Linked DNA regions of Arabidopsis thaliana. The protein of the gene in region 4 interacts with the protein of the main gene of each other region in a pairwise test. Each region holds a gene or a part of one and is shown on either strand. Other genes may lie near its edges.

Region 1 (8,075 bases), on a different chromosome or scaffold from region 4:
CTCAAACCGTTAAATATCTTGATTTGAATATATTTGACCTATTAAAACAATTTCACAATATCATAATTTCTTTTGTTTAAAGCCATATAATTAAATAGAAAATTCAAAAGAAGTTGTCAAAAAAAAATGTGCGTTTGATAAATTTGGGTTGGGCTCTAGTTAAACATACAAATAAAAGTCATTAATTAGTACCAGCAAATTGTAATATAACTTTTTTTTTTTTTTTTTTGCTAAGTGAGTAAATATCATATAAAATGAAATAGAGTTGGATTTATATTTTTGATTACCTAAAGCTTTGGTTCCTTGGCAAAAAGAAAGAAAAAACAAGGAAGCAAACAATTATAATAACCAAAAGACAGAACTATCTGATCCACAATCTCATAAGCGATCTAAACTTTCTCCGATGACACCTTGCGTTGATGGAATTGATGATCTCACGGTCTATATTCTTGAAGATGATAGACGGTAGAATGTCTTGTAAGTTATGCAAAAGGTTGTTTCTCTGCTTCCAAATAGCACAAACAGTGGCTTGAGCAACAAGCTTCCTAATGATGGAAGGAGAGGAGGCCGTACTTAACTTGATCCAAGATAGTAAGCTTTCCCAAACTCTGAACTGAACAGGCTGCAACCTAAGCCTAGCCTGCACCATGTTCCAGATTGAAGAACTGAATCCACAAGTGAGAATAAGATGGTCCCGGGTCTCAACAGACTGAGAGCATAAACAACAGAGAGGTGAGATCTGCAGACCCCAAGAAACCAACCTCGCACGAGTAGGCAGCCTATCGAGATTTGAAATCCACATATGAAATGAGTTTCTAGGCGTTGCACCTTTAAACCAGATAAGAGGAGCCCAATCCTTTTTGTCTTCTCTTCTCCTCAGGACCTCCCATGTTTTAGAGGAAGAAAAACCATTACAATCCACATTTTGAACAACCCAACCATAGGAATCTGCCGAGTCCGTTTGCAATGGAAGGGCAATAGTTGATAAGTAAGTGTGTAATTGAAGCTCAACATCAGAACGTGGTGATGGCAAAATCCAACTATTTTCCACAATAGCTTTAGAAACAGAGGACACCACAGGGATCCGCAATCTCCTTGGACCCTCTTCACCTAGAAACTTAATCAGTGGCCCAAAAGGAGACCAATTGTCCCTCCAGAAACTTGCATTCAACCCATTACCAAGATAACACTTAATAAAACGTTCTGCGAGTGGTCTTAGGCGTATGAGGCACTTCCAATTCCAAGTATCCTGCAATCTTTTCTTTATGAACCAGTAATGTCTATGCCAAGCGACCCAAAGAGAGTTACTATTAGAGAATAAGAGCCAGATGAGCTTTAGACTAAGTGTAACATTCCACTCTGTGAATCTTCGAAGGCCTAGCCCCCCTTCGGATTTTGGCAAGCAGACAACAGACCAAGCCACTTTTGCTTTATTGTAATATAATTACAACAATTTTGACTTTTTGTTTTTTTTGTATGTTTTGGAAAGTACAAAAGATGTCAAAGCTTTACTTAGAGATGACAGAGACGCTCTCGAAATGCGCAAAGATGGATCAACTCAACTGGTGTAAGTCCAACTAGCCACCACATACGCTTGACGTGTGATACTTGCAAATTACAATTTCATCCTTTAAAGTTTATTTACCATTCGATTAAAAATACAACTGAGCAAGTTTACTTGTCATGATAATTAAAAATTTAACATTGACCAATTCAAGAATTTGACTGTCTGACTGATATTAATGTGTTTGCTGATGAAAGGAGAACCAAAAGAAAAGTTAAAACTTAAGAAAAAAATACAAATATTCAGGGTAAAATTTAAAAATTTCCAAGATTCCTTTCTTTATTTTATTCAGATTTTGTTTTTTGATAATTCTTATTTAAATCCTATCGAAAACAGAAATTTGATTTTGTTTTGAGTTGACTACGAACATAGACTAAACATGGGAAATATCCAAAAATTTAAGGTAAAACAATAAATTTCTAGATTCCTCATTCTCTTTTTTTATAATTAAATTCAAAATTGTTTATGGTAATTATATAATTTATTTCTAGGACGACTTTTGATTCCCGACGTTAACATGAAAACATAAAAACTTTGAACATAAATTTATAAATTTAATATCTCAAAGAAAATATAATTAAAATTCTCAAAATTCTTCATTTGTTGTTAAAATTTAAATATGTTTGTGACTAGTATAGTTTTATAATCTTGATATTCTTCTGATAAACATGATTCACGTTTCCGAAATTTAAAATGAAAATAGAAATTGACTTGTTCAACTAAGAACACAGACTTTCATGTACCTAACACTTTTCTCGAAGACGAAAACAATTAAAAAAAACAAAGAAGGACAATAATGTAAATGCATAACTCTAAAATGTAGAAGAAACTTTTAAGCACCAAAGCAAGTTTCTAATAACTTCAGGGGTAAGAGTATAAATAACTAAAAAACAGAGACAATCTTCAAAAGCCTCTCTCAGTGTTTTACTCTTCTGCTCTGTGTAAACTACTAAACGTAGGAACCCAAATCGAAAAAACTCTCCCTAAGAGATTTACCCAAAAGCAAAAGGCAACAGAAGCATCATCAAGCTTCTAGCATTACATACGGGAAAACAGAAGAACCAGAAGTTTCAGACAAACATTCTTTACATGTCTGTGAGGAGCAGAAATATATATAAAACTTGTAGCTACGGTTAATGCATTTGATGTCGCGGGATAGCACGGGAACGAACCGGTGTCTTTGATGGACTCACCCTGCAAAATCCAACCACCAAAGTACGATCAATGTTCAGATTGATGATCAATTTAGAGAGAATGTTAAAGAGTAAGTGTTGGTTTGTTCTTGGACCTTATCGGTAAAGAACCAAGAAGGACACCACTGCAGTTGAGAGCCGCTATCGCGCTTTCAGCCTGCGGAAGAGTGAAAAGATCATACTTAACTAATGAAAATGCATAAGCGTTATAGTTGACAAATGGAAGGTTGGAAGAAAGAGAGATAACAGAAGTATTTGCTTACCATGACAAACTCCACGAAGCCGATGCGAGTTGGATGATGATAATCGCCCAGTAGCCTCAGACGGTACACCTCGCCACACACAGACTCAAAGAAGAGTTTAATGTCGGTTTGAGTGAGCTGTTGAAAAGTGAAACTAAGCAAAGTTAGCAACATTAAGTTTCAGAATAGTTTGGCAAAGGAAACCAATTTATTCGAGTGAGAGTCACCTTCTTGTCAATGTTAGTGCAGTAGATAGTTCTTGCACACATCTCACGCTCATCTTCAGTCTAAGAACAAAGACAGGACTAAAATCAAACCTCTTGAGTCTAAAAAACCATAACTTTGCAGTCAGAATGTGATGAAACACAAGAAAAAACCTTACCCTTGGCAAGAAGGTTGGGTTAACCGGTGCAATAGCTGTCTTAGACGGCATAACCTTCACAGGATAGAATCCAAGCATCGTCCCAGACAAATTCAGAGCAGTCCTTGCACCCACTACAAGTCCCAAAATGACAAACCATAAACCAAGCACTTACAGGCATTATCCAATAAACAGATTACATAGAGAAACTAATGATACCTTCATCAGTGAACTCGATGAAAGCAAACCTAAGTACTGAGTTGGGATCACCACATATACGACAGTCAACAACCTAAACAACCAAATACAGTCAACACCATAACACAACACAAACAAAGATGAACTTTAAGAAGTTGCTTAAACCTGTCCAAAGCCGATAAACAAACCAGCAAGCTGCTCCTCAGTGACCTTAAACCCAAGAATAAGATTACTAATAAGTGATTATACACTAAAGGCTGAGAATGAACAATTGAAGAAAGGTGGAAACTTTTTAAAACCTGTTGGTCAATATCAGACACATAGACAGTTCTTCTTATGATCTCTTCACGCTGAGCCAAACTTGTCCTAGGATTCATTCTCCGTTTCCCTTGTTGTCCGAACGACTTCTTCTGTTTCAAATCAAATCATTTTGACACATAAAGGTGAGATTTTTAAAACTCACAAACACACACAAGAAGAAACAGAGAAACCAAAATGAAGAATCATCAAAAACCCTAAAGAACAATTTGATTCAAAACCCCAAAATCACAGAGAAGAGAGAAGAGAGATGTTCTTACCCGACGAAAGCTACCGTCTTCGTTGACGGGGAAATTTCCGGCAGCAACAAAGCCATTATTAACGGCGAAGAAACCGCCGTTAAAACCATTAACAACTGGCTTAGTAAGTGAAGGAGGAATAAACTCTTTAGCCATAGGATTAAGCTTAGACAAGAGCTCGTGAAGCTCTCTCATATCACGCTTAAAACTCTCACCACCGTCGGATCTCGCCACGTGGACTCCGATCTCATCATGGATTCCATTTCCACCGTGATCGTTGTTAGAAGAAGCTCCTGATTCTTGACTGGTGACGGAAGACGGCGGCGACGGCGAGATCAAACCACCAGCTTCCACAGTAGTATTAGCTCCGACGCTCTCAATGACCGCCATGATCACAAAATCGAACAAAACCCAGAAATAAAAATCTGATTTTTGAGAGAACCAACGATCAAGTAAAGAGATTTGAGGAATACAATGAAAAAGGGAACAGTGGCTATAAGAAGAGAGCCACCAAGAAAGAGAAGAGAGAAGAAGAAGAGGACAAAAGAGTAATCAACCAAAGGATTAATGGTGATTAAATTTTGATTAAATGAGAAATATTAGCGAGGTTCGTTGAGAAAATGGTTAGAGATCTGATTTTAACTTTTTTAACCGTGGTGAAAAAGTTAAAACGATTGGATAAAGTAAAACAAATCGGTCGTACTACAGAGAAAAGATCACGCTCTGCAATTTTCGGACAGAGCTAGATCATAGCAAACCTGGATCTACAACTCTAATATTTATCCAGAAAATATATGTACATTTTTGGCATCATATATTTATATCACTAAAACAAAACGTATGTACTTATTTTATTTATTTTTACTTGTCCATCACTCATCAACTAAAACATATATGAAGAGACTTTTTTTATAAAAAAGATACAGATTTTAATTACATTTTAATCAACCTTCATATAAGTAATCTACAAGTTTCCATTCTATAGTAAAAAATAACATAATAATAGTTGAGAGTTGGGATTAACGTAATGATATGGAGAATCACGAGTCACGACTAGTAAAACAACACATGGCACAAAACGAATGCATAGTTTTCTTTAGGTGTATAATATGTTTTCTTAAACAATAAGCTTTAACATTTCCAGAGGGAGTATAACACTAGGTAAAGACTTGTATAAACTCTTGTTTAGTATGACAGTTGAAATTAGTTTAAAATTTATTATATTAAGATTTATACATTTGATATATGTATTATGAACAGATAATTAGTGAGACAATATAAATTTGTTGAGTGTGATTATATTTTGGCGACTTGCCAAATCTTAATATTCGAATTTCAATATAACAATTTTTATTATAAGAAAATTATTTTTTAAAAAATATTATATTTCTGTTAATTTATGTGTAAATGCTAAGTAAAAGTTAAAACAATTTTTGGTCATATAATCCTGATTTATATTTTATTTTAATTTTCTAATTATAACCATGCAATGCATTTCTTCTAATAAAAATTCAAAACATCTAAATTTGCTGATGATTGTTTTTTGAAATACATACATTTGGTAACTTTAGATATTAAAAACCGTTTATGTGTGTTTGGTAAGTAGTCTTAAGAAAATAAAAATAAACTGTATTTGGAATCAAAAGTGTTTGATATTAAAAATGCTAAATTATACAAAGAAAAAAGTAGTTGAGAAAAATTATAGAATTACGACATAAACACTAAAAACCCAAAATTATTTTACCTTGTACATGATTATGCTTTACAACATATTTGTCATGAAAAAGGCTAACATTTAATCCATCTCGTTTTAGCGTTTTCGTAAAATCAAATGAATCTCTTCCCTCAATTTTTTTTTTTTAAATAATATTCTTAATATTTTATTATATTGAAAAATTATCAAAGAATCTCTTTGCACATAATTATTTACTTTTCATAAATCCAAGAACTAAGAATCAATTCTTTTTCTTTTCTGATAAAGACTAAGAATCAAAATTATAAAAAGTAAAATAACATATTATATATATATATATATATATATATATATATATATGAAACATAGAATGGCCCATATGGATAAACATGAGTTAACTAAAGCATCACTTACTGACAAAACAATGACAATGACATTACAAATTCAGAATTATCCATTACTCTCTCACTCATTATTATTTACCTTTCTCACTGCAGGTAAATAAAAGAAATTACCGTGTAGCCTAACCAGTAACCACCATATTCGTACGGTGGTCGAAGCAGTTACCAACTTACCAGTTCCATCACCAGCTTTACAGCTATAACGACACGTTTAAAGCTCTTTTATTTTTTTTCCTTGGAAGTATAAGAATAAAATAGAGATGCTATTTTGATTTTGACTAATTTTGATGTCATCCTAATTTAAATCTGAATTACACCAAATTATGGTTATATGTATGGTGTACAATTAGATAGAGAAATATCCTAAAATACAGTAAAAGAAATTTTAGCTAAAAAGATACTATTATTTTGGATTTTTTTAAAAATATTAAAATAATAAAATCTATAAATATTTCATAAATCATAAAATTAAAATTTATGGTATGTTAAAAAAAAATTTTGGATTCTGATGGAAGTTACAGAAAATAGCATAAAATGTAGTATATTTGAGAATTAATCAATTTAGACATGATGTATTCAATACTTTTTAGAAATAAGATCCATAGTGGTTGTAACATATCTAGTTATGTAGGAGACACTTAAAAAAATTCAGAAATAAATTGTAACATCCCGATTTCAGGATATATAGTAGTGAATGAAAAGAGTTTTAAAAATTAATTAGATCATCTATATCCACGAAATGCACTTATCTTTTCGATTAAACATATCGAAAAAACTTTACAGTTAAGCATGTTTGTGCTGGAGCAATTTCATGATAGATGATCTACCGGAAAGTGATTTTCGGTAGTGTTTGAATGAGAACAAAACACAAAAAAGAATCATATATAATTTTTGAAGACCGACAAACAAATCTTTAAAGCCTTCAAAAATAGCAAACTGCTCGTCGAACAAGAATAGGCTTTACATATAGTGGCGGTCAAGAATTAAACAAATACAACATCTTAATTGATTTTGTCTACATTATTTTAAATTTACATTACCATAATTTTTCTTCTTCTAATTACCCCTATGTTTTATGCTGTTTCTATGAGTTGAAAATCAATTAATCCGAACCAGTTCGGAAATAATATACATGTGTTTTGATTTGGTATCTGGTTTTGTAATTATTGGGGATAAATTTAGCAAATCTACCTAGTTTTTTCGAATTTTTGTACATCTTCTTAAAAGAATTATTGTGTTTTTGGAATCAAAGCTGAAAATAGTGGTTTTAGATTATTCTTTTAGTTTAAAATGCTGCCTAATTGTTTATGTTATCGACGCAATAGCTACCAAACTCTTGTCTTGTATTATTTTCCGGAAATCGAATCATGGTACTAGACATCTTCTAGTTTCCTAGCAACCACCAAAATACCAAATCTCATTTTATGTTTTGTCTTTTTCCTTCGAAAGTTATTTGGTATCACCCGAAATACTTCTCTTTTGTTAGAAAATAAAAACAAATACAATTTGGGTTTAAACAAGAAAAAAGCTACATTTGGGTTGTTTAAACAAAAACAAAATATATTTTGAGAGGCCCATATCGGGAAGCCCATCTTGTGAAGATACAGCTAGAGAAAACATTTTGAAATACTCCAAACTCCGTAGTAAACAGAAGATCACGAATTAATGTAAATAGATTAATGAGATGTAAATAATCTGAGTTCCTTACCGAAAACTCACTTGTAATTTTTTGGTACTTTAAGTTCATTAAACACAAAGATTATATAGCTACCAATATTGAAATCACCGTAGAAAAAAAAATACGAAAACAATATTTCGCATCCACATATACATGATTTTAGTTTAGTAGTTAAGTACTGAATAATT
Region 2 (9,301 bases), on a different chromosome or scaffold from region 4:
TTTGGCCAGGCTGTACAGTCTTTTCTATGAGCTTCTTTAAATAGAATGTGGTCTGTTTAGGTGTTAAAGGTTGCTGGAGAGCAAGGAGCAAAGGTCATCGATTCATGGTTTATTGGTTGCAATGCAAGTTTTGTCGTGTGTGAAGGTGCTTCTATTCAGAGATACCTTGGCCATGCCAAAACCATTGTCTCAGTGAGTTCTTCTTTATGTCATTTTTGTAGAATTGTAATGTATTCTCCAGAAGATGTACTTCCGCTTGTTTTGATATTCTATGAAAATGTGGATAATTTGATACACAATCCCATGTAAATGTGACTTGATTGCTCTGTTACTTTGTCATACTATTGACCATAGTGAGCTAGATGAGAAAGATAATCCTAGTCGATTAACAGATTTGTTTCATGATGACCTTAACATGCTTAATTTCGTTTTTTTTTTTCTTGCATCAGCCACTATGGGTTCTGAAAACAGTGGAGAAACATCGACAAAGACTTGTACACATGTCACCTGATTTAGCTAGACAGTTAGGATTAATGCTTGAAAATTTTGAAGATGGTGCGGCAAATGAGGTACTTTATCTTTTCATATGGTGTGATTTCTACTGTCCTTACAAGTTAATTTTCCCATTCTCTATCCTTGCACATAATTTCTCAGTCTTCCTACGTTTCCTTGTCCCGTCTTGTAATTTCAATTCAAGTGATGAGAGTAATAGTTGCGACCTTTCTCTGTATAAATCTCACAGAAAATTTCCGGGCAAGGTAATTCTCAAGAGGCTTTTAAATCCAGAAGTTTATCAAAACAAGAACGGAAAGAGACTGTAAATATAGCTAAAACGGGGGTTAGGAGACGACGTGCTCGCCATATGCAGGTAACTGATGATCTTTCTCTTTCTTCCCTGATGTCTTAAATTCACCATAGTGTCTGAATTTGTCTGTTCTCTTTCTGGATGTCCCATAGACTTGCCAAAACCCAATAAGACGCATAACACAGTACAGCCTGCTGGACAATATTTGCTGGACAATATCTGAAGCAGCTTCAGCCGCCACTATTTTTACTGACAGCAGCAGTCGTGACATCAGTGAACCCCAGCCTTCTGTTGTACAAGATGGGATAGATAAAGGGTTAGATCCAGTGGCTTCTTTTTCAAATTCAACCAGAGCACTAACCGAGAGGTACTGTTTCGTTCTTCGTACATCTCTTTTCCTTCATTTTTTAGATTTTACATGGCTACTTTAGAAGTAAATTGTTCCAGTGATAGTCTACTACTATCTATTGCTGCCATTGTTGCAATCCTGGAAATATCTCACTGTGGTCAACTATCTTTTTTTTCTTCCTGGGCGCTCTTCTGCAGTGAGAAGACAGAAGTGATATTTAAAGACAGCTTCCTTACAATTCTATATCCAGCTGATCGGTTCTCGGAGATGGGACCTTCTTCACGGACTTATTTCAGTGATAGTGGTTTCACTTGCCTGCAAATCTTAGACTATATCTACAGATTTTACCAGGTATAACCATCATATTCGAATGGCCAATTTCTCGTTTCAGTTCCTTTTAGTTGCTATGAAAAGGAGAGTCTTTAGAATCAATTTCTTCGTCTTAGTTAGGAACTTATGAGTGATTAGTATTTATACTATCTCTGTTGACTCACTAGGCCCATGTTACCGTTTAGTTCACAATAAGAAGATCTCTTGTGTCTATTGATTCTGCAGGAGAACTTGCCGGATCATGAAATAGAAGTTGCAATTCACACAGACTCGAGGCACGCTGACCGTCTCAGAACAGTGTATTGCAGCAAAGAGACATCAGATGAAGGATGCTTGGTTTTCCCAAGAATAGAGTTATTAGGAAGCAGGAAAAGTTTCGAAATGCTTAAGCGAGTGAATGGAGAGAACAACAGTAATGTTTATGAGCTTATGATTAGAGCTTGATTTCTCTTTTACAATACATAACTGGAAACAAGCTTTTTAAAGTACAAAATTTTACTTTTTGACTCATGAATTTGTAACTTAGTGATGCACATTAAATCTAAGAGAATTACAAATATAAGCATTTCCAGAAGAAAGGAGTATAACATATAGAGTAAAACTGTAAAAAAAAAAAAGCACCGAGAATCAACAAAACATCGTATAGATCCCGACAAAAAGATAGAAAGAGGTCTGATCGATCCTCTGATGCTACAAAAAGTATTAACTGAACAAACCTAAACATTTTATGCATACGCCTTCGTTCCTTCCTTCTTGCGGATCTCTTTCCTAACACTTTTTTTTTTCCTTCTTCATTTTCAGCTAGTCTCTTTCTCCTCTCTTCCCATGTACAGATCAGATACAACAAATGAATAGCGTGGTCACCTTTCCTTTTTTTTGTTTTCTTTTCCGGTCTTGTATCCTATATAAGTACCTGGCTTTTGTCTGTCAGTATATGATGACTCTAAGGAGACCGGCCTGTGGTTCGGAATAGTCAAGACCTTCTTCTTCGAGTAGGTAGCGCTGTACAGCAACTGGGAGTCTAGCCGGAGTGCGGGAACCCCTTGTGTGGTGGCCTGTCCCTACACATATGTAAATCTGAAGCCTCTCTTGCGTTGCTCGAGCTGTGCTCCTCAACACACTCAGTTCGTGCTTCAACACCTGAAGTGCTTCACTCACATGTAACCCATGCAAGTCTATCATTCTCTCATTCCCTCTACTGTTTCCTTGACCCACTGGGTTCCTGTTTCATTTTTTACTCATAGGCAGGTTAGAACAGAGATACTGAGAACAGGAGTTTTGTTTTTCATTTATGGAGATATCAGTGTGTGTTTCGGATAAAAGATCATGTTACAAGGAGATGCAGTGCAGGTAAAGAAGTCAAACCTCTGGCGGTAAATGGCTTCTTGAGCTTTCCCATGAGCAGCCTTCATTTGCATATTATGCAACTGTCCCTTAACACTTAGCTCTTTGGCTAAGGCCTTATTCCCAACAAGGTATGCTTGTCGTGCCTACGCTCAACCAGAAGCAACATAGAATATTGAGCGTACATGACTAAGACAGAAAGATAACAGGTTAATAAGATGACGTCGAAGTAATAAAACCGGTGAAAACCCCATCATTGACAAAAAGCTTTATAAACTATCATCATAAATTGCACGCAAGATTCCAAATACTTATGATTCACTACGCCATACACCCGAAGTATTTTCCAAAAATCAATCTGGACAATAGACCTCAAGGTTAGGCCACATTACACGGCCTTAACATTAATAGACAGGTATGTACCAAATGGAACTTCCCAGTTGCAAAAAACAACAGGTCTGCAGAACAACTAGAGGCCACATAAATGAGTAAAATGTCATTTCCAAGTATATTATACCTGTTCAAAGTACACATTCCGCAAACGTGCATAGTCACGTGCTTCCTCGCGTAACTCAGAATACATATTGCCTGTTCATCCCCAGATAAAAGAGAGAGCCAGAAATGCAACATCGTCGAATAAGATAACATATGTTCAATACAGATGTATAACAAGACTCATATAGTTATTTGTCTATGCAATAAAGTTTGTTAAAAGAAGAAACTTACCAACAGCATCCCCGGTCTCCACCCAAACAGGAGCAGGTCGAGTTTGGGCTCGACTTTGCAGCTTATCAGAATATATACTCCTCCCACGGCCACTTTTGTAAGCACCAGAATTCCTGCTAGAGCCAATAGATGAGTCTGCTGAATCATTTCGTTCATATTTCCACATACCAGAATCCTGAGATGCTAACTTCCTGACAGCAGAAACATAATCGATTGCACCAGGCTGAGAAACCGATGGTCCCGACTTGAAGAAGAACATGTTATCCTTTTCAGGAGATTGGTAATGATTTCCAGTTTGTTGCAAATCATCCCCACCAAACTGGGCAGGAATACCATGGCTATTTGAGATGCTTAGTGCAGGAAAATCCATTGGAGTTAGACTAGGAGGAGCATAAGTCTTAGGGCTTATGTTTTGATTCAAGCCACCATCCACTTGTAGCTATACAGAGAAGAAAATAAACATAGAATTTAATAACATAACATCAATAAAAGCTATGCCATATATTGAATAGGAGAATACCTCAAGCTGAGTAAGCATCTCAATTGTCAACTGCAAATCACACCCATTAGCAAAATAAACTTCTGCTAGACTCTCAGCGGCGAATCCGGGGAACTGAGAAGCGAGAAAATCCACAGGGTTCACCTCCATATCCCCTGGACTCTCAGTAATCATGTCGTTAACAAAGCCATGTCGAGATTTCCCACTAAAAGGGTTTCTTTCCCTGTCATTCCCAAGAAGCTGCTCAGCATTCATGATTTGCTTATCCCAAGGCTTTGGACTCAGTTGCATGAAACTCTGTCGCTGAGGATCTTCCCCAAATGAAGAAATGGGATATCTACTCTTATCAGCCAAGCTATTACCATTAGCATTATGTGAAGCTAATCCAGTTTGATCTGAAAAGCCATATCCTCCACTAGCAGAAGGAAACTTCTCAGCTTCATTACCGTCAAACAACGACAAGTTAGCTAGTGACAAACTACCAGATCCATAAGAATTGTCATCTTGAGTCATCAACCCAAAATCTGGAGTTATATCATCAGGAAGTTGATGACTCCAGAACTGACGTGCTTCTTCATCTGAATGATGTGACGCAGATGATTCTGTCCTGTCCAAAACCGCTTTCCCAACAGAACTAGAAGAAGCTAAAAGTCTTGTATCCAAAGTACTTGTACCTCCAGATGAAGGAGAACGTAGAGTAAACGGAACAAACTCAGCAGCATGAGGGTTTAAAGTTGTTGGCTTGATACTAGTACCACTTAGCTTTGGTTCACTTGCTTTCTTTGTTAAACTCATTCTTACAAGACTAGTAAAAATAACTGCTTTTAAACCAAAATCTGCAAAAAAAAGAGTTTGGCTTTTCTAAGTCAAATTACTCAAAGAAGAAACCTGCAAAATACTTTGCTTTAATCAAACAAATTACTCAGAGAAGAAAGGTAACACACCTGACGGTAATAGAGATACACACGTGCGTGGACTTCTCAATTCATATTACCAAAACCTAAACAAGAAAAAGAGATACATTTTCAGTGGCTACAAACTCATAAGTCAAAACCCATTGCAGCTTTTTTATAGTTCTTACCAGACAAACACATAAAGACTTAAAATTTGAAACACAACTACTAAATTCTAGAATAAGGGTATCTTTAAATGACTGAAATAAAAGAAAACCCTTTATTAAAAACAAGATTTTTAAGTAAATCCAAGATAGAAAAAAACAGATTTGTGATTTATTAAACCACACAAAAAAGAAGAACCCAAATCAAGATGAGATTCGTAGAGATAAGAATATCTCTGAAAGAAAGAGCAAACCTTTAAGGAAATGGATCCATGGAAGATAACAAGATCAGAGGTTAAAAGAAAAAGGTAAAGGCTGCTGTTGAAAACAAGATAAAGAGAGAGAAAGATGAGAAATTTTGCAGTTTGGGGTAATCGGAGAGCTTAAGCTGTTACCTCCTAGGGATTCGAGTTTTGGGGTAAGCGTCGTCTTCTTCTACTCTCTCTATAAGAGTAATTGTTTGGGGGTGTTGTTTGGCTAAAGAGGTAACACGAGCACCACAAGATTTATTTAACAAGACACCAAACCTTGCGCCTCTCGTTTTGACCTTTTTTTTTTTTAGTGACTCCATCTATCTACAACATTTATTTATTAACTACTAATGACACTTAATCCTTATCACTAAGGGTTTTAATTGTAAATTTTTGGGCTTTGATTACTTGCTTTTATTAGGTTAACTATTTCCTTTCAACTAATTTTTTTTTTTAATAAGATTTCTCTATATATTTTGAATATCCTGAATTAGCTTATTATTTTAAAAATCTAATTAAAGTTTATACAATTATATTTATATTTAGGAAAAATAATCTTCAAACTGATTGTTATTGTTAATTTGCTTTGAATTTAAGTCATCTAGGGAAAAAAGTATACTTATTGTTGATATAGATAAAATAAATATAAAAATTTAATAATTTATTACATTTATACAGCATTCTGAAACTCAAATATACCCAAACGGTTTCATATGTAATCTTGAAAACGAGAGTGCTCCGAGGAGCTCATAATTTCATTGGAATCACCAAGAATAATCTAGGGGTAGCTGCCGTACCATACATGATTTGATTTTATTGCAATTCCAATCTCCATAATAACCAACCAAGTGATCATCTACTATGTTTTAAAGAGCGAAATAACTTCAACGTTGTCCGCCCAACAAACTGGTGTATATATATATGATTTACAAACATTTATTTTATATTTCTTGTACATGACTCTTTTGTACAAAGTATTTTTGAATTATGTAAAGGAAATTAATCTAAAATACCAGAGAACTAGGATACTTATAACATCACCTTTCTTTCCTTCAAATTTTTGGAAGAATGGTCATAACTTAAGATAAGAATTGCGTTCATAGAATATGAATGCTTAATAATTCATATGAGAAAATGATGTATTTCAAATGCCATCGTTTTGCTTTGCCTTGGATTCCTTGTAAACGAGAGAATCTGAATAAGCGATGTTCACACGTCTTTTGCCTTTACGGTGATGCCTAAACTTATTTATATCAACAAACTTCTTTCCTTCTTTGTTGTTATTGCCATCATGCTTCCTAATATCAACTTCTTGGATAGACTCTAAGACCTTAACCACCTCACACATTGTAGGTCTATACTTAGGATGTTGGCTTAGACACTTGTATGCTAGGGAAGCAGCTACCTGAGCCGCTTCTGTTTTGTGCTGGTTCGCGAGCCTCGGGTCAATTATCCTCTCTAACTTTCTTTGGTCCCTTAACATAGGCCGCGCCCATTCCACTAGGCTTTGTTCCCTCCGTGTTCGGGTATTGTCCATTGACCGTTTTCCGGTTATCAGCTCTAACAAAACTACTCCAAAACTGTATACATCATTCATCGTCGTCAAATGACCTACAACACATGTAAACCATTAAAGACATATCTCAAAGAATATCGCTTCACGGTAAAAGAAATAAATTCCTTACAAAAATGTTACCAGTCATGATATATTCGGGCGCAGCATAACCTTGTGTTCCCATCACTCGGGTAGTTACATGCGTATGTTCGCCTTCAGGTCCATCTTTGGCTAGACCGAAGTCAGATAATTTGGCGTTATAGTCCTGAAATATCAAAGAGTCAGTTGAGAAATACCACTTTAATTTGATTTAATAGTGGATACAAAATTTAAAAAGGAAAAAAAAACTCACGGAGTCTAACAATATGTTAGAGGTTTTAAAGTCTCTGTAGATGACAGGTTTCTCTGCTTCATGGAGAAAAGCTAAACCTTTGGCGGCTCCGAGAGCTATCTTCATCCTTATTCCCCAAGCCATTGCTAAGCTATTTCCTGTCCCAATTCACACACTTTTCAAAGTTAGTAATACTATTGAATATTATCTAAATTATAAAAAATATATAGTTTTTTAAGAAGTTATTAATGTAGTGTACGACCCATAAATAAAGTAAGAACTTGACGAAGTTAACGTGAACCATATGGATTCTTTTCTTCAATATTTTTTATTCTTGTCATTCTATAACTAAAACGTAATTAAAGTCTTCGTGGAGTTGTTCTTTTAGGTTTAAACAGAAAAAATGTTTTGTAACGCGGTCTAGAACATATATAGCAAAAATTGAAACAACTTTTAGCAAGTTAGGTAAAAATATAGTAGATGACGTACTTCGAAAGAGCTGATTCTCCAAGCTACCTCGAGGCATGTACTCATAAACAAGAACTCTTTGCTCTTCTTCACAACAAAACCCTATCAGCTTCACAAGATGTTTGTTACTTAGTTGTCCCAAAAATAATATCTCCGCCTGCAAACAAAAATAAATTTTGTATACACTGAAAAAAAAAACTTTATGAAGAAATTTCACAAAAGATATATATATTTAATAACATACTGAAAAATGGCCAGATTCATATAGCTAATTAAGAAGATAAACCAAAATTCAAAAAATATATAAAATAATCGAGACGGTCTTCGTAATTAAATTGTTCCTTGTGAATAGAAAAGTCTTGAATGTAGACAAAAACATACATAAAGAGAAAGAAATGTTACCAGCCATTCTCTATGGCCTTGATGGCCATGAAGATCAAGAGCCTTTACAGCAACCGGTTGGGCTTCGATACCCGGTTTAACCTTATCATCAATAAACCCTTTGTAAACCGGCCCAAACCCTCCTTCCCCCAACATGTTACTTCTAGAGAAATTATGCGTAATCACTCTCAGCTCAGACAACGTGAACAAACGAAGCTTCTGCGATGTGAAGGAGTGAGAGAGATCATCCATAACCGACATGGGCGAGCTTGGATCGCTTATGTCCGATAAAGACAGCCTCTTGAACGCTGGACAAGTTCTTATTTTCATTACAGCCTTCTCCCCTCCTTCGTATTTGCTTGCGTTCTTTGCCTTGTAACACCCCAAGAACAGAGATGTCAATGATGTTTTCTTCTTCTTGAACACTGCCATTTTCAACTTCTTCTTTTGTGTTATTTGGGGAAAAAATGGAGAAAGTTAGTCTTTTACTCCTTTTGATGAATCTTTTGTAGAGTGCGTAGGTTTAGAAATTAAGGATGTTCTAGTTAACCTACTTGTCTTCAAAGTCCTCTAATTTATAGTAGTTGTTGTGTCTTATTCGTACTGACCGACCTTTGAGTTTTCAAATTTATTTATATATACAAAAAGTTTGCTTTTTTTTTTTTGTATTAGTTGTATAAAAATGTTGAAGTTATTTTTGGTGGATATATTTATATTGTTCTAAGCTCTATGCTGATATTTTTTTCAGGAGAAACACGATTCCATGTTCACATTAATCCTCACAATAATATTGAAAAATAACGCAAGTTGTTTTCTTTTTCTAATCACAATATAATCAATATTATTGATTATAAATTCATTCAGTTGTTTGTACTTAGACTTCATCTCACCAAAGTCTACGGGCTATATAATTTTGCTTATATATTCAATGAATTGAAAATTGTCTCTCGCTCTACATTCCAAATACGATCTCTCGTTTCATTATAGACTTAGTTCTGTCTAATAGTTTTTGTTGTAATAATTTAGGTAATTTAAAAATGATTTTGTGAATTTAATGGTGTCTCTCTATATTCCACTATCTCGATTTCTAGTTTCATAAGACTAATTAGTTATTTACTAATAGTTTTTGTTCTAATAATTTAGGCAATTAATTTAAAAATGATTTGGTATACATTTCAGGCTGGCAAATAAATATTACGTATAAA
Region 3 (8,118 bases), on a different chromosome or scaffold from region 4:
TCAAAGCCACCACAACCAATTCTACCACATTATAGAGTATGACTCAATACTAATACTATTGCTACTCGAGAATTCAATATTCCTAATACTATTTGAAGTTTCAGTGTTACCATTCTCAGTAGCAAGTTGTATACTTTTCTAGACAATTCATAGAGAAAATAAAACACAGAAACATTTACCATGAGATTGGTATCATAAGCATCTATAATGGCATCGTGAGTAGTAGAAGGCAACGCCTTTTCGCAAATTTCCTCAAAACCTTCCGCAAGCGTTTTCATCAATTCAGGTCCCATTTTCTCAGCAAACTTCTCTCCATCAGCTGAATCTCCAGCAAATATACGCATAGCCTCTTGTTCACCTTCTTCTTCTTTCTTATCATCTCTCCATCCATCACCACCTCTTCCTCTGCCTCTCCCTCTTGCTCCTCTTCCTCTCCCTCTCCCTCTCCCTCCTCTTCCTCCCACACTGCTTCCTTCAGCTTCACCACGCGAAAGCTCACTCCTTGCTCTTCTTCCAGCCTCTTCCGCACTCAATTGCGGCTTAGGAGTTCCATCTTTGACCGTTGGAGCCCGCTTCTGCTGAGGTTGTACTCTCTGCTGCTGCGGTGGAGGCGGAGGGCGTCGAATTTGGCGGTTATCTTCTTGTCGGATTGGAGCAGATTCCACAAGAGGCTTTCCTCGACCTGCTCCACTAGGATGTGAAAATTCGTTTCCTAATGCATTGAATATGTTATCAGGTGGATCAGCTTGACCAGGTTTAGACTCTGGTGGTGGTGGAGACGAAGTTGCGTCCTGCATCTCCTGCAGCTTCACAAATACAGGACTTCCCTGAGATTCATCATTAGGCTGCTGCTGTGGTTGCGAACGCGGCTGCTGCTGTTGTGGTTGTGAACGCTGTTGCTGCGATTGAGACTGTTGTTGCTGCGGTGGAGGCGGCGATTGGCGAGGAGGTTCAGCAGCGAAAGGTGAAACGGTGTCTGATCCAACGGATCCTCTTCCACGGCCAATACTAGGAGAATCTGATTTGACAAATGACGTAAACGCAGGAGAAATCGAATCAGATTGGATCGGACGACCACGACCATGACCATAACCTCCGGCAGATGACGGTTCACGTCCAGGAACCACCGGTTCACGATTTACACCGAATTGTCCTCTTCCAGCGGCGGGAAATCCTCCATCTTCACCGGAACCGCGTCCACGACCACGGCCGGAGGAGTCGGAGGAAGAGGAGAAATGAGATGTGGATTGGGTGAGAAATGGAGTTTGTTTGACTAAGGATGCAATGGTGAAGCCATTAGGGTTTGAGAATCTTCTTCCTATAGCACTTCTCATCTGTGAGATCTCTTCAAATTTCAAGAACTTTCGTAAACACTGGCGATTGAGGATTTGAGGGTTTTGAGTTACTGTGTTAATCGGAAAATGGGGGTTTTCCGAAACGTCGCCGTTTCTGTTGACTTATTGCTGCATATTTGTAAATTCATCCCTGTAGTTTGAGTACCTGATGGGAAGAGATTTATACTTTTCGATTTGTCGAAATCCCCCATAGTTATAGACATTAGGCCAAATTCAAGCACATTACAAAGAAAATGATCCAAAATTTAATTTTGCAGTTCCATCCCTGGATTTTGATACCTGACGGAAAATGAAATATACTTTTCCATTGACCCAAAAACTCCTATGAAGAGAATGATTATGCCAAAACTTAAGCGTTCAACACTTCAACATAAATAGTAAAATCTAAAATCTCCTAAATTCTAAACTTTTTTAGTTAAGAACCAACAAAAATGATCAAAAAAAAACCTTTAAAGAAAGATGATATGACTCAATAAGTCAAAGAACTCAGAACAAGAACTCAAAATCCAAGAAGCATGTTCATGGTTGTTGTCTTTCCAGAAACTACATAATTGGAAAACAACTGCTCTAGAAAAAGAAAGACAACTGAAAAAGAATAAATAACTGAATATTGTTGCATCACTCTCCTTCATCAACAAAGCCTCTGTTTTCTCCTAGTTTGGCGATGGTGATCGAGTGATTCGCGATCTCACTGGTGTCTTTGAAGGGCTTACCCTGAAGAATTCAAAAGATTTCATTTCAAATTGTTTTTATATTCAATGAAAGGTTTGTCACAAAAGAGAAATAATGTGTGTACCTTATCGGCTGAGATCCTAAGACTATTCCGCTGCAGTTTAGCGCTGCAACTGCACTCTCTGCCTTTTTATCCCGTAAACAAACGCATATTCAGTTGTTAAGTAAAAACTAAGCCTTGAAAAGTTCAGCTTTACTTGTTAACACTAACAAAAGAGGACACAGAAGCTGAGTTTTAACAGGAGTTTACCATGGCAAATTCAACAAAAGCTATGCGAGTAGAATGCACTTGGTCACCAAGAAGCCTTAAGCGAGTAACCTGTACAGAGAGAGAAGATAGAAAAAAGTTGAATGTTATTGTTGTTTTACAAATTTCATATTATCTTTATGAGAGCAGAAAAAGCAAGTTTTCGGATTCTAGACTGACCTCACCGCAGGCAGACTGAAAGAAGGTATTGACATCATCTTCAGTGGCCTGCAATTTATAGGAATCTCTCAAATCCGAGAACAAGTATGCAAACGCAATCTAAACTTTAACGGAGAAAAAGTATTTACATTCTTGTCAACATTTGTGCAGTAGATGGTCCTTGAACACATCTCTCTTTCATCTTCTGACTGAATAAAACACCAAAGGAAATAGTGGAAACCATCATTTTTGTTTCTAAAACTGTAAGCTACTATGCAGGCTGAGAAAAATGGAACTTCTTGTTTTTTACCCTGGGGAGAAATGTGGGATTCACTGGAAGAATAGCAGTTTTTGAAGGTAAGACTCTAACTGGGTAATATCCGATCATTGTTCCACCAAGACTTAAAGCCGATCGTGCACCTTCTGTTTTTCAAAACAAATTCATACTAATGTAACTCAAACTTGACACTTGAATTTTGTTTGTAAAGAAGATTAAGTAAAATCCAATAGCTTTAACTTACGGTCATCAGAAAACTCAACAAACGCAAAGCGAAGAACTGAATTCGGATCCCCGCAGATTCGACAATCAACAACCTTCAGAAGAAGAATGTAATATTAATTAACAAACAAAAGATGAAAACCGGTAACAAAGCTTATAGATTTCAACTTACTTGTCCACAGCTGCTGAACAAGCCAGCAAGGCCTTCCTCAGTCACCTATTTGAAAAAAAAAAAAAAAAATAGGTGACAATGTTGAAAAACTGAATCTTTTTTCTGAAAATCTAAAAAGAGGGTTTAAGTAACTTACACTCTGATCAATGTCAGAGACATACACTGTTCTTCTAATACTATCTTCTCTTTGAGCCTTAGAAGCTCTTCCAGGTAACCTCACTCTCCTCCCTTGGTTATAGTTGTTTCTTCTCTGTAATCCACAAAGCCAAAACAAAAAACAGACAATTTACCAAAACTCTTAATGAAATGTTAAGTAACGATCATATAAGAGTTGCAAAACTTGACAATGTAACTATTAGCCAACCAAACCAGATCAAAAAACAAAACTTTCTATATGAAACTTCAAGCTAGAGACTTTCCAGCACAAAGACCTAAACCCACTTAGAATGAAACCTCATTTAGAGGTCAACCAAAAATCCAAACTTTACCAATCAAAATATAATCAGAAACAGAAGAGAGATTGTACCCTCCGGTTAATGGCAACCTTTTTGTTGTCTTCACCAGATGGCTTTATAGCAATCACAAAATCGTCAGACTGATTAGTATTCCTCTTGTAAGAAGGGAAAAACTCCTTAGCTTCAGGATTGAGTTTCTTGAACATGGCAACAAGCTTCTTCATTTGATCATATTCCGGTTTGGATTTGGGTTTGAGGTCATCCGATTCGATTTCCGGTTTAGAATCCGTGCTCTTCTCAATTCCGTCTCCAGTTCCACCATCGTTGATTACGTCATTTGAATCAGTGGCCATCTCAGTGATCGCAGCCATTAATTAGATCAGAAAATTCCAAAAAAATATAAAACAACAAAAAGGATCACAATTCAACAAAAAACAAGAGACAGAGGAAAGAAAAAGTTGCGAACTTTTCCTTCTCTCTTCAGTCGAATTTCGTAAAAAAGATGCAAAATTTGATGAGATTAATCGAGTTTTATTGAACACCCATTTCAGAATACGAGAATGCTTAATCGTAGACAATATATAAATCTAGTGCGGTGGTTTCAGAAGGTGGCGATGGATGAGAAGAAGAAGAAGAAGAAGGAATGATGGGTTTTGGTTTGTTGCTTAGGCCTTTTTCTAGCTCAATCAAATAGACCAAAACTCTCTAACAAGAGTGCTTCTCTTTTTTTTCGGACTAAGATTTTTTTCTTAATTAATTTCGTCAAATGTAAAATTAAAAAGAAAAGAAAAGTTATGATTCTTTATTATTTTATGTTCCTCTTGAGGGCCTTTAGATAATTACATATTTTACACATACACCAGTTTATTACATTTTTTATATTGAAAAAAATCTTTAGTAGTTTTAGTACACTTTTTTTGCTAAGAAATATATTACACATTACTAATATTATTATTTAATATAATTGTTAAAATGTTATTATTTTTGTTATGGATATTAGATAGGGTGTGGTCTTTCATATGGACTGCATTGAAATGTGTTATTTTTTAGATACTGTTAGTTTGACACATCAACAAAATTTTGATTATTTTATAAACTTTTATTTTCTTCATAATTGCAAGCAATTGTTATAATAATTAGTCCATAAATCTTTGGATTCGTTGGGGGATTTTTTCCTTTTTTTAATATATTTTTTAACTATTGCTGGGATTTTATAGTTCCACTTTTATAATCTGCTTTTATTCTATTTTGTTATTTTATTTTACATTTCAATTTTGGTTTGCAGTTACTTTTGTATTGATATCCCTAATAACAGTAACCACACAACAATATGATAATTTTCTGGTTTTTCTAATATAAAATTTGAATGGTTTCTCGTCAGGAAAAAAAAATACAAACAAAAAATGTAAGACTTTGCAACGATGTATTAAGTGTGTAATTTGTTTTGCATTTTTTTATTGTTGCATAGAAAAACTATCAATTTCTTACCAAAACTCAAATTACAAATTTAGAGTTTTCATAAATTTAAACTCACTTCACTTCTTCAGATTACGAGTTTTAGTGTTTAAAATTAATGAGTTGGTCTATAAGAGCTTCGTGTGTTGGGGATTTGAAAAGATTAACCAAAGCTTTGTAAGAATTTTGCACCCAAAAAAAAAAGTTTTTGTAAGAAGGGTGAATTAGCTGTATAGCCATATTAGGACAAAAAATTAAAAATATAGCCATATAATTTACGTAATTCAGCAAGTAACCAAAAACTCTAACTAATTACAAGTCTATCCCTGCATTATTTCCTTATTTTCCAATTTGCCATGACTCATCATCTTCTTCGTTTTGTTGATCAGATATTGATCTAAAGGTAATATTCTATATGTTCTAAAGGTAATGGATTGTGAATCAGATATTGATTTAAAGGTAATGTTTTTTTAACAGACCTTTTTCATTCATCATCTTCTTCGTTGCTTCTTCTCTTCTCTCCATCCAACAGAAAATTTCCAGAAAATTTAAATTTTTTATATCAATCCATTCTAATTTAAAAACATCTATTGATTTAAGAAAACTAAACCCTAAGATACTATATATGGAACCCAAACAAAAATAATTAAACTAAATGAAATCATCTCAAGTTTCAGTTTTTAGAAATCTGACAAAATCATGTTTATATACTTTTAATCTCTTTTCTCCTTTCCTAAAGCGAATTGAAATCGATTCGATTTTGGGTTTAAATTTGTGTTAAGGATTTTCAATTTTATATATTGATCAAACCAGAAAATATTCAATAAGATCTTGTGAGTCTTCGTTTTCATTTTTTTTTTGTTCTAACTAGCAAATAGAATGGTACAAAATTGAAAGTAAAATAGAAAACTATAGTTCGGTTCTGTTTTAATTAAGTTAAAGTAGAAAAAAAAGATGAGAGGCGAGAGAGGTGAAACAAGCAATGGAAGAGAGGAAGAAGTGATTAAGGTGGTGGTGGTGTGTATGGTGTAGGTCGTAGTAATATTTGTGTTGGTGGTTGCAGTGGTCGTGTGTCAATTGCGGCGGCAATAATGGTGATGATGGTAGAGATGACAGCGTAATGGTAGTTTCTATGGTGGTGACGATTGCAGTGGTGATGGTGATGATGGTATGACATTTGTGGAAATAGTGGTGGATGCAATGATGATGACGGTTACAAGGGTAATGGTTGTAATAGCATAGAAGAGATGGTGATTGTATAGTTAAGGGTACTTTAGTATATATTATAGTTTATATACAAAATGTCTCTGTTTTTTTTGTTGGTTAGTTTCTTAATTATAGTTTTTTTGTTAGTCAATTTTGCAAATTTCCCTTTTAAGAATAATGATATATATAAAAAAAAAATAAAAAAATAATGATATTATACTGGGCTTTAATTTTACTGGTCAACAAAAGCCCATAGTCTCTCATTATGTGTTTATGACCCGTGTACCCGACCCATCTTTATAAATTAAAACGGATTTCGTAGAAAAGAAGTTATTTAAAGAGGGATCCGCTAATTTCTTCGTTACTTTTAGTCAACTTTAAAGAGTTTGCTTAGAAGATGGAAAAGTGAGGTACTATTGAATATTCAAGAAGAAGACATACCAAATGAGAATCGCAATATCTTTTGCTGATTTGAGACCAAAACGATTGTTGACTCTAATGGCGGATCGAAGTCGGATCAGAGGCTTTCTTAGAGAAGAACATGTGACGTATGCTTCCATTCTTCTCTACATCACTCTCTCTAGCGGTCAAATCTTCTTCAATAAGGTTTTAAGTCAAATCTCACATTCATATGTTATTGGATCTATGTTTTCTATTTGCAGTCTTTTTGCTCAAGATTTGATTTTATTAGATCTGGTGGACATTAGTAGATTTTAAAGCTTTTAACTTTGACAATCTTGGTAAAGTTCTGTTACAATGCGATTTGGTTTTGGACAAGAAATATAATAATAATAAAATTCTTGTTAATACAACAGTAGGTTCAAATGTATGGTTCAATGGTGAGTTATGTACTTCCATTACACAAATGATTATTCGCTTAAACAACTTTTTTACTGTTCAAACTTTTGTAAATTTTGGTTCATTCCATTTCTCTTTAGCTTCTTTCAGTTTCTTTTTTCCAGCACTAATTTTTATTTCTGACTCAATCTGATGCAGTGGGTATTGTCATCTAAGGAAATAAACTTCCCTTATCCACTTGGATTGACATTACTTCACATGACTTTTTCCTCTGTTTTGTGTTTTCTCCTCACGAAGGTTTTTAAGGTATCTCATTGGTTATTACGAAGACCTTTAATTTCTTTAATGCTTATAAGACAAAAACGCTTAATTCTGATTATTAGTCTTCTTGTTAAAAGGTCATGAAGGTTGAGGAAGGAATGACATTAGAAATGTAAGAAAGAAAGTGTTTCTGTAAGCAATTTATTTATTTTTGAGTTGTAAATACCGTTTAGCTAAAACATCACTCTATGTACTCAGATATGTTACATCAGTTATTCCAATAGGTGCAATGTTTGCAATGACTCTATGGTTAGGAAACACTGCTTATCTCTACATAACTGTTGCATTTTCCCAAATGTTGAAAGCCATCAGTAAGAACTTAAGCTCTTCCTGATCTCATTTGCGTTACTTATAAATTTTAGATAATCAAGAATCATATTTTTGCAGTGCCTGTTGCTGTGTTTATACTTGGAGTTTGTGTTGGGCTTGAAATAATGAGCTGCAAGATGCTTTTGATAATGTCAGTCATAAGTTTTGGCGTTTTAGTCTCGTCTTATGGTGAATTAAACATCAACTGGGTTGGAGTTGTTTACCAAATGGGTGGTATTGTTTCAGAAGCCTTGAGGCTAATCTTAATGGAAATTCTTGTTAAGAGGAAAGGCATCAAATTAAATCCACTCTCTCTTATGTACTACATGAGCCCATGCAGGTATTGTGAAAATCAAAGAACCCTATTCTCATTATTTATTTTTTTAATTTGAAGAAATCATAAAATTCAC
Region 4 (6,050 bases):
AAGACATTAATGTTATTGCAGCTAGTTTGCAATTTTCGCTACAAAATCCAGCGATGCAAAAGGAAAGAAGACAAGAACAGAAACTTACAAGCACAATCTCCATGTCAGCCATAGGAATGTTTTTGAAATGCTTAACGTAGATTCCTCGTTCTAGATTTGTTTTAGAGCTAGCTCGTCTGCAACATCATAAACCACAAGCTTGAACCACAAGTTCACAAAGTTACAAACAAATAGCTGAAACAAGACATACATATACCTTACCTATAAACAACAATCATTCTATCGAATGTAGGCTCCTGTATTGTGAGCTTGCTCAAAAAACTCTTAAAGCTGAATCCATCAACACAAATGCCATTATCATCATATATATGTACAGAATGGCAAAAGTTTGGGTTGAAAGCAAATCATAACATGCGAGGGATACTGATGATAACCTCAGCTTTGAATTCTCAAGGCGAATACGCTCCACATACAATTCATCATTATCTGTGTCAGGGTTTGGCTCATCATCTTTTTTGGGATCTTTCTTGTTAAGACTGCTTGACCTTTTGGCGCGTAATTTCTCTAACCTGTGATCTAAATGTGTTAAGACCCAACATGTAATCAAATGCCTAACTTTTTTTACTTGTATTGAACTTTAAGAAAGACTAGACTGGGAAACGTGTTCTAACCTGGTGATTCTCATGAGAAAGGACCAAAAACGTGAAATGATCACATCCAATTTCTCCATGAAAAAATAATCTGTGGTTTTATCCAATCCAATACCACGTCTGAAGATGACATACTATATAAGAAAAAGGGTAAATACTATATCAACACATGTCGCTACATGACCATCAAGAAAGTCTTTAGGAAACTATAATCTTGAAATGCTCATCTACAGACAAACTAAAAACTGTACCTTATCAGAAAAATCTGGAATATTTTCATGTGGATGCTCCTCAAAATACCTCTTGAGCAGCTTCTTGTCAAGCTTCATCCACCAAAAGCAAGAAAACTATTTTATAAGAATCCCGGCAACACACAAGCATTAGTGAAAGTTTGTTTAAACAAACCTTAGACTCATCAACTTTGATGGGAAGATTGAGAAGATACTGCCCAGAGTGTGCAACTTCCATCTCTTCATTACTTGTTATTTTAAAGTTGCTCTTCTCCATAACCTTTATAAGCGGGGGGAAAAAGAGGCACATTTCAAGAACAATGACATAGATAAATATAAGGGAGGAGATAATATCCTAATCAAAGAGAGTAACCTGAAACAAGTAAGCTAGGAAATTTTGTTCAAGGACATCAATCTCTTGAGAAGTTAAGTTCTGCTGCTGGATTTTCTGAGCACCGTGTACAGGATCAAACAGAGAGTATAGTTGCTGGAAATTCAAAAGCGCATGATAAATGAGAAAGCAAAGCAAAACAAGTTTGTAAAAGAGAGATTTTAAAAAGGAAAGAGGTTAGAGACCATGAGATCTTCAAATTGAAGAAGATACCAAGCTCGAACAGTGTACTCAATTCTCTTACATAGCTTAAGGAACTCTTGTCTATCATTGCTATGTTCTGCAAAAACACAATTTATCCGACCAAATTTGTAACCAAACAGAGAAAGGGCCAACGATTGTGAAAAAAGCAAAATTTGGGATTTGGGTTCAAAACCCGAGAACAGGGAAGAAGAAATTGGAGAAACTGACCAATGAGATTAGCCAAGGTCATGATGAGTTTAGGTTTGAGGATAGGGATGACCGATTCGGGCTCAAGACGAATCACTTCCTTATTGTGTTGTTCCGCCATTTCAAAAGGATCGAATTTTTGGGAAATCAGAAACAAAGGAGGAAGAAGAAAGAAGAAGAAGAAGAAGAAGAAGCGTAACGGACCCTGAGGAGGAACAAAACTGAAGCGTTCCAATGAGTTAATGTCGTTGAACTCGACCAACGAATCATCAGCCCAATGCTTTTTTCTATTTCTTGCTTCTTCTCCTTTTTTTTATTATAAATAATAATAATAATCAAATAATGTGATTTTTATTCTTTATGTTATGTCTTAAGTCTAATCTTCTGGTTGATCCTCCAATCATTGTATAACATAAGCTTCCTATATCATAATACATCAGCCTCTGTTTCTCTTAAAAAAAAATCATGTAGAGAGTACTTAAACAAATTCCTTGCCGACATTCAAAAGAAGAATAATTTCAGACCAATACCAATGTTGTGACTTGTAGTAATGTTAAAAGACCAACAAGGTAGGTAGGTCCTCTCACTTATTCAATCTCCCACAATATTATTATCTCTCTCATATAGCCAAAACCCAAACAGTGCTTCTGTCTCTCGTGTGTTTCCTATTTCGTTTATATGGGCTATATAAATTAGGCCCATGACATTATATGGGCTTTCACATCCAACTAAATGGATTATGGATTCATAGCGCGTGTGTTCACTGTCTCCTTTTAAACGCGTGGTTAGATCAAAGTCTCTCAGATTTCTTACCTTCTCTTTTAAAAATGCAAAAGATTTCTTACCTTTTCTTTTTTTGTGCAAAAGATTTCTTACCTTACAAAATTAAAATAGATACAGAGAATGTTGACTTGGTGAGGATGGAGGACACGTGTCAGTTTTTGATTGAGTAAGCTATTACTCTCCTAGATTTCTTTCTATTCCAATGTATAAATTTGTAACAAACATTGGATTTTGTCAAAAGTACCACATTTTCGATTTTTGTATATTGTAAATTGTGAAATTTTCAATATTTTTATTTTAAAAATCTAATTTTAAAATTCATGCACATTAGTTTGTCCCAAAAAAATAAAAAATAAAAGCTCATGCATTATAAGCCAATCACACTACCTTGTAATGTTAATTCTAAGAGTTAGATAATTTTGTTATTTGTAGATATACAAAACAAATGATTAAAAATACATTTAGTAAATTTTGCATTGTTCAACATACGTGCTAACATATAGCCATTGTTTTTCGACAAATCTAAAACCAAAATTTTATACTATTTACATAGAAAAAAAAAATAGGCATACGGTGTTATATCATTTTTGTTTTAGCTATATTATAGCGCGTGGTTCACACACATGATCTAAAGAGCGTGTTGAATCCCCAATTATTAAAAAGAAAGAATATTGGCATTTACCTAGATATTTTGTTTTGGTTTTGTTATATATAGCACATGAAATCTTATTCATCAAAACACTAAATTTTGTTTCTTCTCTCAAATATATCGTCGTCTTCATTGCTTAAGTCATGAATCGTTTATGCTTTTTTAACAAAGTTGTAAAAGTTGCCCGTGGTGATTCACCTCCTTTTGATCTTGCTTCTTTACCTCCCAAAGAACAACGAGATGTAAAATTGATTTTGCTTACTTTAAGATTGCAGCTACTTACAAATATAGTTTATGTTATCTTTATATGACCTAAATTTCTCTTTTTTTGTAGTTGATTGGTGAAACTTTGTTCTTTATGGTGGAAGAACTTGAGCCACAGTTTGCACCAAAAATCACAGGAATGATTCTTGAATTGGACCAAGACAAGGTCCTTCATCTGCTGGTAACACCTAAAGCCTTCAAAGAAATGGTCAAAGAGGCAATGGAGGTCCTAGCGCACTCCTTTCTGCAACAGATGAAAATTGCTAGGGGAAAAAGATGTTAGCAAGTTCCTACCTTCCATGCTCCCCGCTAAACTTTGAAATGTTTGTTTGGTTTTTGTTCATTAATATGAGCAACAAAATGTGGCTTTAAGTTGAGTTTTAAATCTTTGTTTTCATTTAAAAAAAAAAAAATCATATGTTAGTGTATCCAAATGTTTTAAGACAATAATAAAAATAAAATAAGTTCTGCTTCGTCCAAATAATTACTAGAGTGGTTATAACTGATGTTTTAGTTAAGTTGAATTTTTAATTTGTAAACAATGTATCCCTTAGTAATATCTAAACTTCTTTCTTTCATATTTAATCTTACTTATATTAAAATATATATATATATATTTATATTCTATTAAATAAGAAAAAAATATATATACATATATATAATAGTAATAATTTATGTTGATTTCAACTATATCGATAATGTAAAGCATGACTAAACACTAAATAAATGATATTTTTAGTAGCCCGTAAGATATTTTTATTATCATGTATTCAAAAAGTTTTAATCCAAACATATTTATTTAAATATTTAGATTTATTTTACTTTGTATGATGTAAGTAGATAATGTTTAGTTTTTATTTTACTTTGTATGATGTAAGTAGATAATATTTAGTTTTTACCAACCAATCTTTTTAGTTGCTAGTTTTTTACCAACCATATATACCCTCTATCCTTTTTGTATTTATATCTTTTAGGATAAAAGGCTAATAATAGTTTGATTTACTTTGTTAACATATCTATCATATACATCAAGTGTTGCTTCAAAACATAAAACCAAGACATGGAATTTTATAATTTATACTAGTATTCTCGTTGTATCATAACTTATATTTAAATTTGTGTTTGTTGTAAACAATCGAAAAGCATATAGAATTCGTATATATTTTATAATAATAAAGAAAAGGAAAAAACAAAATCGAGACAAATGAATAATAATCATGAAAAAATGTTTTTCATATGTTCTTATATATTTTCAATTTGATAAATACCGAATAAATGTTTCAAAGTAATTTGACTTTTTAAGTCAAATAAAATCTCTAAATTATAACAGTGAATCACAATAGACCAAATCAATCATAGCAAATAGATATGATTTATGAAAAAATGAGAACCTAAGTTTTAATGTTATACGATATAATTAGATAATTTAAAATATATGCATAATATACATATACTATTATTTTTATTTAATGTGTTGAAGGATACAAAATTATTAAAACCATAGCGATTACGTAATTTATTCACTATTCATCAGTTTCTTAATCCAAAAGAAAAAAAAGAAGAAGATAAAGAGGTATTTATATATCAGATGTTCAAAAACCCTAAATCGCGTTTCTTCTCTCAAATCTGCCGCCGCCATCATTGATCCAGGTATTGCTCTAACCTTGACTCTTCACGTCATTCGCATATTACTCTCCTCCTCGCTGATCCATTCGAATTCTGCACTCAAATCGTGTTTTTGTACATCATAGTTTCAAGCATTATGATTCTCTCTAGCCAATGACTTTTCTTGCGATTGAATCCTTTTGCAGTCTCGTTATCAAAAGTTGAAGAATTTAGTTTAGTTTGGTTGTGTAGATAAGATTTGTAATCGCAAAATTCGATCTTTGTTACAGTTATGGATTCGAGTTACTCTGATTCTCGTCCCATGTTCGTGCAATCACCTTATGGTGGTTGGAATCAAACACAGATGATTGATTCAATGGCTAATCCAATGAACAATGAACAAGGAGACTTGCATTCACTATCTGAATCACAATCACAATCTCAACCGTCTCAGCAATTACAGCCTGCATTGAAAAGGCCTAGACTTGTTGATGATAACTTGTTTAATCCTGCTTCGTCGTTTCCTCAGCCTTCGAGTAGCAATCCTTGGATGGTTCCATCTTTGAACCCTCCTCCTGTGAACAAAGGGACTGCTAATATATTCTATAAGACTAGAATGTGTGCTAAATTCAGGGCAGGGACTTGTAGGAATGGTGAACTCTGTAATTTTGCTCATGGGATTGAGGATTTGAGGCAGCCTCCGTCGAATTGGCAGGAAATTGTTGGACCTCCTCCTGCTGGTCAAGACAGGGAGAGGGAGAGAGAGAGGGAAAGGGAGAGGGAAAGACCGTCTTTGGCGCCTGTTGTGAATAATAATTGGGAAGATGATCAGAAGATAATCTTGAGGATGAAGCTTTGTAGGAAGTTTTGTTTTGGGGAAGAGTGTCCTTATGGGGACAGGTGCAATTTTATTCATGAGGATCTGTCAAAGTTTCGTGAGGACTCGGGGAAGTTGAGAGAGAGCTCGGTTATAAGTGTTGGTGCTACTGCTGCTGATCAACCATCTGATACTGCTTCTAATCTTATTGAAGTAAATAGACAAGGAAGCATCCCGGTACCTGCACCTATGAACAATGGTGGTGTTGTCA

The links.
Region 1: the proteins of MPC (region 4) and CID12 interact in a two-hybrid assay, tested with the Arabidopsis thaliana proteins (one study listed by BioGRID).
Region 2: the proteins of MPC (region 4) and CID7 interact in a two-hybrid assay, tested with the Arabidopsis thaliana proteins (one study listed by BioGRID).
Region 3: the proteins of MPC (region 4) and CID8 interact in a two-hybrid assay, tested with the Arabidopsis thaliana proteins (one study listed by BioGRID).

Annotation. Positions count from the first base shown.
Region 1 is NC_003075.7:6,553,766-6,561,840, reverse strand, and holds CID12 (CTC-interacting domain 12), read right to left. Parts: upstream 4,860-8,075; 5' UTR 4,506-4,859; coding exon 4,137-4,505; intron 3,969-4,136; coding exon 3,858-3,968; intron 3,769-3,857; coding exon 3,724-3,768; intron 3,653-3,723; coding exon 3,580-3,652; intron 3,495-3,579; coding exon 3,382-3,494; intron 3,287-3,381; coding exon 3,227-3,286; intron 3,138-3,226; coding exon 3,021-3,137; intron 2,915-3,020; coding exon 2,853-2,914; coding exon of another isoform or gene 2,822-2,852; exon of another isoform or gene 2,759-2,821; coding exon 2,698-2,758; 3' UTR 2,239-2,697; downstream 1-2,238. Other genes in the region: AT4G10613 (RNA-directed DNA polymerase (reverse transcriptase)-related family protein), read right to left, coding at 362-802. UniProt on the Arabidopsis thaliana protein: Binds nucleotic acids in vitro.
Region 2 is NC_003071.7:11,185,732-11,195,032, forward strand, and holds CID7 (CTC-interacting domain 7), read right to left. Parts: upstream 5,667-9,301; 5' UTR 5,506-5,666; exon of another isoform or gene 5,365-5,505; intron 5,054-5,364; 5' UTR 4,998-5,053; intron 4,890-4,997; 5' UTR 4,849-4,889; coding exon 4,075-4,848; intron 3,994-4,074; coding exon 3,555-3,993; coding exon of another isoform or gene 3,520-3,554; exon of another isoform or gene 3,417-3,519; coding exon 3,346-3,416; coding exon of another isoform or gene 3,340-3,345; exon of another isoform or gene 2,975-3,339; coding exon 2,850-2,974; coding exon of another isoform or gene 2,774-2,849; exon of another isoform or gene 2,707-2,773; coding exon 2,412-2,706; 3' UTR 1,995-2,411; downstream 1-1,994. Other genes in the region: AT2G26270 (BRCT domain DNA repair protein), read left to right, coding at 61-192, 450-569, 743-868, 958-1,172, 1,352-1,505, 1,710-1,928; ARSK1 (root-specific kinase 1), read right to left, coding at 6,506-6,972, 7,058-7,181, 7,269-7,405, 7,737-7,872, 8,118-8,528.
Region 3 is NC_003070.9:20,027,254-20,035,371, forward strand, and holds CID8 (CTC-interacting domain 8), read right to left. Parts: upstream 4,367-8,118; 5' UTR 3,991-4,366; coding exon 3,691-3,990; intron 3,415-3,690; coding exon 3,301-3,414; intron 3,210-3,300; coding exon 3,165-3,209; intron 3,088-3,164; coding exon 3,015-3,087; intron 2,917-3,014; coding exon 2,804-2,916; intron 2,703-2,803; coding exon 2,643-2,702; intron 2,563-2,642; coding exon 2,515-2,562; intron 2,407-2,514; coding exon 2,338-2,406; intron 2,214-2,337; coding exon 2,152-2,213; intron 2,070-2,151; coding exon 2,009-2,069; 3' UTR 1,670-2,008; downstream 1-1,669. Other genes in the region: AT1G53645 (hydroxyproline-rich glycoprotein family protein), read right to left, coding at 180-1,334; AT1G53655 (uncharacterized protein), read left to right, coding at 5,504-5,533, 6,138-6,248; AT1G53660 (nodulin MtN21 /EamA-like transporter family protein), read left to right, coding at 6,725-6,886, 7,277-7,384, 7,477-7,511, 7,598-7,710, 7,787-8,048.
Region 4 is NC_003074.8:6,702,290-6,708,339, forward strand, and holds MPC (maternally expressed pab C-terminal), read left to right. Parts: upstream 1-3,184; 5' UTR 3,185-3,236; coding exon 3,237-3,335; intron 3,336-3,427; coding exon 3,428-3,640; 3' UTR 3,641-3,838; downstream 3,839-6,050. Other genes in the region: AT3G19340 (aminopeptidase (DUF3754)), read right to left, coding at 89-176, 262-330, 435-569, 672-784, 902-973, 1,056-1,160, 1,254-1,367, 1,457-1,551 and 1 more; AT3G19360 (Zinc finger (CCCH-type) family protein), read left to right, coding at 5,255-6,050.